Canis lupus familiaris: one gene and its partners. The protein of the gene in region 2 interacts with the protein of the main gene of each other region in a pairwise test. Links are inferred from orthologs where the notes say so. Each region holds a gene or a part of one and is shown on either strand. Other genes may lie near its edges.

Region 1 (4,120 bases), on a different chromosome or scaffold from region 2:
TCCATGCACCGGGAGCCCGACGTGGGATTCGATCCCGGGACTCCAGGATCGCGCCCTGGGCCAAAGGCAGGCGCCAAACCGCTGCGCCACCAGGGATCCCTCTTTTTCTTTTTTAGTGAAGATTTTATTTATTCATGAGAGGCAGAGGCACAGGCAGAGGGAGGAGCAGGCTCCAGCAGGACTCGATCCCGCGTCCCCGGGGTCACGCCCCGGACCGACGACGCTCAACCGCTGAGCCACCCAGGCGTCCCTTGGGGTCATCTTTAATGCACCCCCCCACCCAGCTTCGTAACGGTTTTGGAAAAAGCAGCCTTCACACCAGAGGCTGCCTCAGCGTTTTTGGAAGAATGGAACCCGGGGCACAAAGAACAGCATTTGCCTTAGTCCCTCTCCTCTTCCTAATGCACTTATCTACCTAGAGCCCAGGGTCTCCCCGCCCCCGGAGGAGTTAACAGAGGAGGCCCTTTGGGACTTGTCAGAACATCAACAGAACACTCCAGCTCGGTAGGGTTGTGTATAAGCCAATTACACATACACAAACCACAACCATTTGTTTAGCGAATATCCATAACAAATACTATCTAATATCAGATTAGCCTAGCAGGTCATGTCATTGTAATGTCTTGGCTTGATTAATTCCTTACCGTCCGGAGCGCTTTAGGCTCGGCCTGACTTTCCTCGGGTCCCAGGTTCTCTCCTGCCCACGCTCCCAATTACCGTGTTGTGTCCCTAGGAAGAGGGACATCCTATCGCCCCTCCCCTTGGGTGTTTCAGGGAACTCTGCGTCTAGGAGCAAGGCAGCCACCCGGTGGGCACCCCAGATCAGAGCTCTGCGGCGAGCCGCTCCCTCGTCCTCCACCCAGTGGTCGCCCAGTAGACTACACTATCCTCTCCCGCGACTATGAATCACTGGGTCGGGAGGCTCCGGGACGGAGGCCACCGCTCTGGAAACAGCAGACGGCCGGCCCCGCAGCAGGCCAGCCCCCGCCGCGACCTCGCACCCGGCCAACCCCAGGAGAGCGGGCTAGACGCTGCTCCACCGCCCGGTCCAGCCCCCCTGGGAGTCCGCATCGGGCTCCGCCCCCACACTGGCGCTGGGAAGCACCGAGTCCTCCCTCCCACATGGCTACAGAGTCCGCGTCGGGATCATAAACATTTTCGGCGGAGAGAGAAGGCCCGGCCAGGCTCCCCGCCTCCTCGTTGGTCGCTCGCGGCCTCTAGTCCAGATCCAACTTGGGCGAGGAGGCGAGGCTTGGTGACGAGCTTCCGCCGGGATGCGCAGCAGCGGCGGGCGGGGCCTGGTGACGAACTTCCGCCGGGTTACGTAGCAGCGGTGGGCGGGGCGAGGGGCCCTCCGCGCACGGCGGCGAGTGGCTGGGACCCTCCCTCCTCTTCCCCTTCCCCTTCCCCTCCCAGGATAGGCCGAGGCCGGGACCGGCACCGGCGCTCTCCCGCGGCCGCCGCGGCCTCCGCTCCAGCCGGGCCGGGGTGCGGACGGTCCAGACCGCTTCCAGGGCGGTGCGTACTGCGCCTGCGCCGGCTCCCGCCTACGAGGCTGTGGGACGGGAGGGGGAGATGTCCCGCGGGGGTTGGGACGGGGGCTCGAGATACCGGAGGTCGGGACAAGGGACGGGAGCAGAGATGAGAAATGGAGGAAGGGAGCGGGAATAGGGAGGAGTCGGAGGTGAGGAAGGGGCGCTGGAGGCTGCTTTGGAGTAGGGGAGGCGGGTGCGGGAGGGGGCCTGGCCGACGGGAGGACCGGGAGGAGGGGACCTGGGGCTACAACGTGGTGTTTAAATGGCAGTGACGGCGGGCTGGGAGGGGAGGGGACGTTGGGGGGTAGCCTGGGCAGGGGCGGTGGAACCTGAGCCCCCGCCCTCGCCGCGCGGAGCTTGGCTCCTCTCCCGTGCCTGGTCCTTGGCAGCCTTGTCTTCCTCCATTCCTTCCCCCGCCCCCCCGCCCCCCTCCTTGAAGGAATCTTACATTCCTTACATCCCTTCCTTGGCTTTGCAACCGGGCCCTTTTCGCAGGCTTCACACACCAGAGAGCCTGCCCTAACCCAGCACTCTGCGAAACTGGGGAAGGGGGAGGGGGCTGACGGAGGAGCAGAAAGCCGAGAGAGGTGAGAGTGTTTGCCCAAGGGACTGGGCTGCGATGGTGGTGGTCCTGTACAGGTGGTTTTAGGCAAGAAGTCGATAGTGTCGCTGGCTGATAGTTTTCCCCCAGATGGGAATGGGGTAGACTAGTGGACAGGAATCTGAGGGATGTGATGATGTTACTACTCTGTGTGTCCAGCCAGACTTTGTGTCTGGGGCTGGTTCTTGGTCATTGAAAAGGAACAAGCTGCTTTCAAGCATTTCCTCACTAGCCTCCAGTATTCTAAATTTATTTTGCATTCTATTGTTACAAATGCCTTACCTGAAACACAGCTGTATTCAGTATGTCTTCACACTTATTATGTCTTTGATTTTCCAGGACGACATGTAAGGTAGATAAAGGCAGGTATCTTTCCTACTTGTCAGGTGAAGACATTGAAAACTACAGAAGAGATACTGACTTGTTTAAAGGCCTTGCAGTTGGCAGAGCTGGGACCAGAACCCAGGTCTCCTAACTCCTGGTCCTCCTCTTAGTTGAAAACTCCTGTTTTCTTCTGGCTAAGGGAGCATTCCAGCATGGGCAAGATTTGCTTGCTGAGTCTGGAGCTTGTCACTAGAAGACTGAGCAGAGCCACCAACAGTGGTTCCTGGAAGCATTTTGTGAAGTACAGGTGCATATGCCAGGCTGTTGGGAAATAGGGTGTTGTCAAAATGAGGGCAGCATTACACTCCTCTTGTGTTATGGGTGAGGGAGAAACAACTTCCTCCCTACCCCCCAAAGAGAAAGTGTGTCCGACATTACACCTTTATCTCTCTGGTTTGAAAATACCACACTAAATGTGTTTGGCTGATGAGCATAGTAAACTAATGAGCATGAGTACCAGACTCAGAAGAAGAAATGGTCTCAGTTTTATGCATAAAAATTATCATCATCCTTTTGCTTTGTAACACAGCCCTTAATCTGTTGATGGCCATATGATGGGGAGGAAGGGAGTTTGAACAGTTACTATTCTCCCGTGTAGTAGTATTGAGTAGACCTCACAGCACACTTCATCTGTATTGAGTAGACCTCACAGCACACTTCATCTGAAGCCTGTCCCCCTTTACTTGGTCTCATTCTCTTAGCAATGAGAGTCTAATCTTCCTAATCATACCTCTAGTCTTCCTAGTCGCCCACTCAGGAGTAATTTCCCATTTCATTACCTCTTCCTCTTCTTTTTTAGAGCCTGATCCTGTCAGGAATATTTTCAGACTTGGAAACTAGATTCATACCTGTATGAACATTCTTGAGTATCTTCTTATGAAATAGTATTTTTCAGGCGGAGGGTAGGATTAGAATTCTTTTTACATGATTTCGGTAATTTTTGTGAAAGCCTTTGGGAAACATTAAAGCATTCTACTCTGCGTGTAAGCTTTCGTTGATCTCTGCATTGTACAGCCACAGATCTGGAATCATTGACATTCCTTGTGGTTGTGTGCGCTGAATACGAGAATCTTCCTCTGTCTCAAACAACTCTTTTTTACCTTTTTTCTTGTCCCTTTCTCTGCCTGTCTCAGCTATGTTTGAATCTCCTGGATTGTGTGTGTGAGTCTGAGATTCCTTAGCCAGTGATCTCCATCCTTAGAAGGCAGTCTTGTGTCCCCAGCTCTGAAACGTGTTGCCCTTAATGAAATCGTCTCTTCAACCAGTCGCCAGATCCATGTCTGTCTAGTCTCACTGCCCGGTGGAGGTAGTTCCCCTGACTCACCTTTTTCTTCCTTGTTCCTATTAATAGAGTGCTCCTGATTGTGACATCACATCCATCCCCTTGGCGATGGAGCTTGTCACTAGGAAGGAAGACTCGGTCGGACAATAGCCAACAAGATGGGTTACTGGGAGCGTCTCCTGAGTGACACTGAGTGGAGGCCTCAGGGGGTTGGAGCCTTGTGAACAGGGAACCTACCCCCCAACACTTGGAAGGTAAAGAGCCTTGTTTCAGAATCCCATTCCAAGCTTCAGGTCTCATCTCAGACTATCTGGGTTC
Region 2 (3,500 bases):
CGCAAAACAGGTGAAAAGAGAAGCACAAGGAACTTGGAATGTGGAACCAGTCATCTTTAACAGATGAACTGGAAAATGTCAGCAAAGTCTCCTACTGGCTAAAATAGCTTAATATATTCCACTAATTGAAGGAAAGAAATCAACTAGTTTGAAACCAGCACATACACCTGTGGGTTACTCTGTGCGTTTTCTGCAATCACAGACAGGATTCTTCCACGTTGAACTGTGCAGATTTTTTTGTTCCAATGCAGGGCTTAGAAGTCCCTGGTTTTGTGATTAAGGAAAGTCTGAGAGAAGGAAGGACTGACTAGTCCGAACATCCTCTCTTGCCTCCACTCTTTTGTGTTTTACAAAGTAAACTAGCAGATATTACCAGATGACTGGCCTATCCTGAAATCCTAATGCAGCCTTTAAAAAGTGGAAGCCCCCTAGGGCGTGTGGGTAGCTCAGTAAGTTCAGGTCACCCAGTCCTGGGATGGAGCCCTGCAGAGTCAGGCTCTGTGTTCAGCAGGGTGTCGGCTTATCCCTCTCCCTTTGCCCCTCCCCCTGCTCGTACATGCGCATCCCTCGCAATCTCTCTCTAATAAATAAATAAAATCTTAAAAAATATATATATGTATATATATTAAAAAGGAAGCCCCTTGTAAAGTACATAAAGGAATGGCATCTCATTTGACAGGAAAAGAAATGCAGCAACTAAAAGTAGTCTTGAATCTTAGGGTGTACATCAGGCAATGGCTTAAAATACTTAGTGGCACTGTCTTATTAAGAATTTCTGAGGGATCCCTGTGTGGCGCAGCGGTTTGGCGCCTGCCTTTGGCCCAGGGCGCGATCCTGGAGACCCGGGATCGAATCCCACATCGGGCTCCCGGTGCATGGAGCCTGCTTCTCCCTCTGCCTATGTCTCTACCTCTCTCTCTCTCTGTGACTATCATAAATAAATTAAAAAATAATAATAAAAAAAAAATAAAAAGTTTAAAAAAAAAAAAAAAGAATTTCTGGGCAAAAAAAAAAAAAAAAAGAATTTCCGGGCAGCCTAGGTGGCTCAGCGGTTTAGCACCCCCTTCAGCCCAGGGCATGATCCTGGAGACCCGGGATCGAGTCCCACATCAGGCTCCCTGCATGGAGCCTGCTTCTCCCTCTGCCTGTCTCTCTCTCTCTCTCTCTCTCTCTCTCTCTGTGTGTCTCTCATGAATAAATAAATAAAATCTTAAAAAAAAAAATTCTTAGCAGGGCACCTGACTGGCTCAGTCAGTAGAGGATACAACTTTTAATCTCAGGGTTGTAAATTTGACCCCCATGTTAGGTGTAGAGACCACTTAAAAATAAAATCTTAACAAAAAAATTCCTTAGCAATACAGGACTCATGAGTTTCCTTCAACAGGAGGGCTCCCAGGAACACCACAACCAAGAGTCAGAGGGTCTGTGGAAGTTGCTGTAACAGCACAGGACAGTGATACCCCTGACATTTTGAGTAACCCTAAAAGGACACGTAAATAATTTCAAAGCATTCTTACTTCTGCAGCAGAGCAGAAAGCAGGTAATCTGACAGTTCTGAGAAACAGCTGAACAGTGCTGTCACTTGGCTATTAAAGATCAAATATGGGCAGCCCCGGTGGCGCAGCGGTTTAGCGCCGCCTGCAGCCCAGGGCGTGATCTGGAGACCCTGGATCGAGTCCCATGTCGGGCTCCCCGCATGGAGCCTGCTTCTCCCTCTGCCTGTGTCTCTGCCTCTCTCTCTCTCTCTCTCTCTCTCTCTGCATCTCTATGAATAAATAAATAAAATCTTAAAAAAAAAAAAAAGATCAAATATGACCAAGCTCAAAGAAGTCGCCATTTTCTAGGTAGCTGTTTTAAACCGGGCTAAAAGTCCTCATCCACCCCACAAAGCCAGGCACGCTGCTCTGGGGAGCTTAGCTGGGTGGAACGCTTTATCCTGGCTTTGAAAAAAAAAAACAAACACCTGCTTATTAAAATAAAAAGAATGTTGATTTTATCTATTTTACTAATCACACAAACAACATTGGAGAGAGCGAGCCAGTGGAAAAATGTATTTGGTTTCAGGGCTGGTGGAATGTTTAGAGTTACTTGAGCAGCTACATACTCTGCTTTCATGCGTCCAGCTGCGAATGCTGCCCTCCACATGTGGCCCTGCAGCTGTTTCAGTGCTGTGGTCTTTCGGTCCAAAGACATCTGCCAGCACACATTATCCACCACAGCCTGGATCATCTGCGGCAGGTCATCTGCTCCATTCCCAGATGCGGCAGGGATGGGAACAGCCCCATCCAGGTGGGAATCCTCTTCAGCCTTTAAGTCACAAACAACACGATATTTGTTTACTTGTTTTTTATAAAGATCACTTAAGATCTGAAAACCCAGCCGATCAACTTTCTCCAACTATCATTAACATCTAGCCCTGTTACTTACATTTTGGGGGGCTGATATGAATGCTTCCTAAAAGAAAGTGACTTATAATTAATAAATTACTTTGCTTTTCCTATATTGTTATAGCTGAAATTTAAATGGAGAGGCAGGGATCCCTGGGTGGCGCAGCGGTTTGGCGCCTGCCTTTGGCCCAGGGCGCAATCCTGGTGACCCGGGATCGAGTCCCCCGTTGGGCTCCCGGTGCATGGAGCCTGCTTCTCCCTCTGCCTGTGTCTCTGTCTCTCTCTCATCTCTCTCTGTGTGACTATCATAAATAAGTTAAAATAAATAAATAGGCATGTTGTACATGAGAAGAGACAGCATACAATGATAAAATGATATAGTAAGACCCAGTGTGTCGATTCACTTACTAGGATCAACAAACCAGGACTTTAATTAAATCTGGTCATTTTCTCTGTCCTATAATGAACTGAGGAATAAACAAAGAAAATGTCAAATCAGTTTATGCCAAAGATGGCAGAGGAGTAGATCTTAGTTTCGTCTGGTCCCAAGAATTCAACTAGATAGCTATTAAATCATTCTGAACACCTGCAAACTCAACCAGAGTTCTAAGGAAAGAATAGCTGCAACTCTACACATAGAAAAGAGACCACTTTCGGCAAGGTAAGAGGTGTGGAGAAGTGAATCCGAGGCGATATATGGGAAGATTAACTGCAGGTGGAAAAGACTCCGGCAGCTGGCACTGAAAAGTGACAGAGCAGTCGGGGTGAGGGATGTCCCTGCCAGAAAGGTGCTCAGGTGCCAAGCGGAGCAAAATCCTAGGTGGGACAGTGTGGCTTCAGGATCCTCGGGATCACAGGGGGGCTGGGAAGGGGGGAGAGGGGGAGGGAGGGCGCCTGAGTGTGGCATCGGAGAGTTCCCAGGCATTGGACCAGGGAAGCCAGCTGCAATCAGCGAGCCCAGGAGTGGGCCCTCAACTCCAGGTCTCCATAAACATCAAACCACAGCAGGGTTGGCGCAACTGCTCCCAGAGCAAGGGCCCAGGCAAGTGGCAGAACCTTAAAACCCTTCCCTTCCTTCTCTGGGAGGAGCAGCACAGCAGCATGCCAGAGTTT
Region 3 (3,064 bases), on a different chromosome or scaffold from region 2:
CTGTCTCTCATTTTTACTCCTAGGTTCTTATGCCCCCACCACACGTTCTCCTCCGCCTTTCCTGAGTCCCCAACCCCCACCAGCTCAGAGTCGGCTACAACACTGGCTGTGGAGTGTAAGGCACTAAACTCCACTTGGACAAATCCCTTCAGCTGTAAAGAACTGGAGCTATAAGCCCCCAAACTAGGTTTCCAAAAACTGTAAATAAAGGATCGATCCTAAGGTGTTCGGCACTAAAGTGGTGTGGTAGACTGTTTTCAACTAGCGGCTAAAAAATGGAAACGTAAGAGTTAAAGAAAATATCCCATTTATATAGCATCCTATGTTTCTATCAAGTTCCAAAGATTTAGTCAGTGAGCCTAGCTGGATAGCAATGTTCCATATGGATTTAAGTACTTGGCCACTTACTTGCCCCAAATGACTAGCAGTCCACTCTTCTGGGTGCCCCTGAGTACTTGAGTAGGAACTTCCTAGCAGTAAAACAAAGACAATAAACAGGATGTATCCAAAATCTGTTTATTGGGATAGTGTCCCACTCATCTTGATTCAGGGAGCTTTTAGTGCTGCTTCCGCCTGAAGGAGCATCCTGGAAGAAAAAACGGTTCAGAGATTGATAGCAGCCTACTTATCCTGCCACCCCCCAAGAAACGAGCGTGGCTGCTAATCCATCCACAGGAAAACTACATCTTTACTTTCCTCAAAACTTATAGCTACCAAAAAAAAAAAAAAAAAAACTTATAGCTACCACTTCAGCCGTTTATAGCCCTCGCGCTCCCTCATATGAAGCCCCTTTCATCATTACCCAGGTACAGCTTTAGGTTTGTTTTGGATCTAAGGAATGTGTGGTTTCTGGCAATCCTCTTGCGGGAGGGTGGCCGGCGGACTTTACAATCCAACAGCCTGCACGAGGCGGTCTGAGGACACACGACACCCCCCCCCCCCCCGCTCCAAGATTCAAGCCCCAACGACGACGTTCGCTCAGCAGCTCACCTTCTGTAAGCCTTGCTTTTCCTCCCGTGGGCTGGCAGAGGACAGTAGAACAGCCGACACACAGAACTACCGTCTGTGCGTGGCTGAAGACGGTGGTGATTTTGTAGCATCCTGGGAAGAGACGTCAGGAAGCGGGGAGTGAGGACCTTTCAGGCCTTTTCAGGCCCTCCTCGCTGGAGCCCGCTGGGAACCCGCCGCTCTCCTCACCCCCGCCCCGGGACCCTCCCCTCCCCCTCCCCCCCCCTCCCGCGTCGTTCCCCCCTGGCGGCGCCCCTCACCCGGGCACTTAACGTCCATGAAGTAGGAGTTGGGGCTCTGCACCAGGCGCTTCTTCTTGTGCTTCCTCTTCTCCTCTTCCGGGGACGGGTGCAGGAGATCCTTCGCAAGCTACGGGGGCACAAGGTGTGGTCAGAGCAGCAACGGCCCGGGGCAGTAGAGTGGGGAGGAGGAGGAACAGGAGCAAGAAGCAATAGCAGCGGCAGCAACAGCCCGCACCGCTCGGCGTCCGCAGCGGGGCCGCCATCTTATCCCCGCCCCGGGCCGCCCGCCGCCCGCCCCCGGCCGCCCGCGGTCCGCGGCCGGCCCCCACGGCCCGCACCCGGCGGAGGAGCACGCGCGCGCGCGGGAAGCGAGGGCTCCGCCGAGACCCGGGCGGAGGAACTCACGGGCATGTTCTCGTGGGGAGGTCGTCACCGCCGGAAAGGAGCGAAAGCGGAAATCCTGCCGCTTATATCCGCCGTCCGCCGGAAGTGACGCGCGCGCGCGTTCGGCCGCCATGCCGAAGTCCGCGCGCCGCCTGTGGCAGAAACCAGCGCCTTTGGACGGGCTGCTGCGCCGCGACCGTGGGAGCGCGTCCGTAGGGTACGCTGACGAACAGGCGCGCCCCGCCCTGCCTGGGACCTCTCCGCTTCCTTTGCTGTTTTTCCGTGGGTTTACTTTGCCCAGTCAGCACCCCGAAGTGTAAACACGGGAAAAGAAGGCCCGCCTATTTCCCCGCTTCCCCAGCTTGCTGCGAGGTCAGCGGCTGTTTTGTTTTATCCAGTGGTTTTCCTCTAAGTGACGATGACATCAGACGCTGGCGTAGTGCTCGCCCTGGGCGGCTGTGGCGGCCGGACATTGTACATCCGCACCGACACACTTGGAAAGGGCGAGGAGAAAGCAAACCGGGACCGGAGCCACGTCTTGTACAGTCGGGCCCAGCGTCTAGAAGGTCCCTTTGTCACCAGAGGACCGAAGACTTCTCGACGGCGTCTGGGAATGCAAGCAGAGGCGTGTGAACTCGGGTCAGGGGCGTGGAGTGTCGGGTGCAAACACCCGCCCCGCGGCCAGAGTCGAACTTCCAGAGTGACAGCGGCACTGGGAAGAGGGATCTCTGAGGGGCCGGAGTCTGGACAGAAGCACTGTGTGGGTTGACGGACAAAACCCAGGGCCAGACGGAGGGGAGGCATAGTTGCCGGAGCTCCGAGTGAAAGGCAGAGCGTCCGGGGCCGGGTTCAGGAACAGCTATTGTACCCCAGCATCGGTACCGTTTGGAGGGGTGGGCACCACACGCACCACACTCTGGGGATGGAGTCCAGTTCCAAGCAAAATGGAAAAAAAAAAAAAGAAGAATTGCTGGGTTATTGTCAGAATTAATGAAAGTTGAAGAATAAAGGACACTTTGGCTAGTGAGGAGAAATAGCGAAAACTCAAGATTTGTGATACAGCTTGAAGACATGGTGGGAGGTGAGAGAATGGACAAAGTGGGTTCAGTGGTGGTGTCTGAGAAGGGGCAAGCGCCGGCGCGAACGTGACCAGATGAGGGAAGTGTAGTACCAGTACGCTCTACATGAGGACAATTCTGACCCACTGTTAGAAAAGCAAATAGTTTGAACAGTTTTTTTTTTTTTTTCCCAAAAAGCAAAGATAAACTTGTTTCTTTATAGCCATGTTTTCCACTTAAGCTTTTTCCTTGCCTTTTCACAAACCTTTCATGTGGTCCCAAGAGGGCGGCCTCGGGGCTATGTTAAAGATCCATACCTCATCCAAAGAATGAAACCATGGGTCCCTGAGTGGCTCAGTCGGTTAAATATCT

The links. The genes of interacting proteins can lie anywhere in the genome.
Region 1: the proteins of ENOPH1 (region 2) and RNF41 interact in binary tests that used the Homo sapiens proteins (3 or more experiments, as listed by UniProt). The link is inferred for Canis lupus familiaris from reciprocal best matches to the Homo sapiens genes ENOPH1 and RNF41.
Region 3: the proteins of ENOPH1 (region 2) and RPS27 interact in a two-hybrid assay, tested with the Homo sapiens proteins (2 studies listed by BioGRID and IntAct). The link is inferred for Canis lupus familiaris from reciprocal best matches to the Homo sapiens genes ENOPH1 and RPS27.

The regions. Positions count from the first base shown.
Region 1 is NC_049231.1:895,330-899,449, reverse strand, and holds the start of RNF41 (E3 ubiquitin-protein ligase NRDP1), read left to right. Parts: upstream 1-1,320; 5' UTR 1,321-1,518; intron 1,519-1,546; exon of another isoform or gene 1,547-1,684; intron 1,685-3,871; 5' UTR 3,872-4,056; intron 4,057-4,120. UniProt on the Homo sapiens protein: Acts as E3 ubiquitin-protein ligase and regulates the degradation of target proteins. Polyubiquitinates MYD88. Negatively regulates MYD88-dependent production of pro-inflammatory cytokines.
Region 2 is NC_049253.1:33,562,876-33,566,375, forward strand, and holds part of ENOPH1 (enolase-phosphatase E1), read right to left. Parts: intron 2,308-3,500; coding exon 2,105-2,307; intron 1-2,104. UniProt on the Homo sapiens protein: Bifunctional enzyme that catalyzes the enolization of 2,3-diketo-5-methylthiopentyl-1-phosphate (DK-MTP-1-P) into the intermediate 2-hydroxy-3-keto-5-methylthiopentenyl-1-phosphate (HK-MTPenyl-1-P), which is then dephosphorylated to form the acireductone 1,2-dihydroxy-3-keto-5-methylthiopentene (DHK-MTPene).
Region 3 is NC_049228.1:43,135,522-43,138,585, forward strand, and holds RPS27 (40S ribosomal protein S27), read right to left. Parts: upstream 1,695-3,064; 5' UTR 1,662-1,694; coding exon 1,656-1,661; intron 1,378-1,655; coding exon 1,269-1,377; intron 1,102-1,268; coding exon 991-1,101; intron 587-990; coding exon 558-586; 3' UTR 501-557; downstream 1-500. Other genes in the region: NUP210L (nuclear pore membrane glycoprotein 210-like), read left to right, coding at 24-127.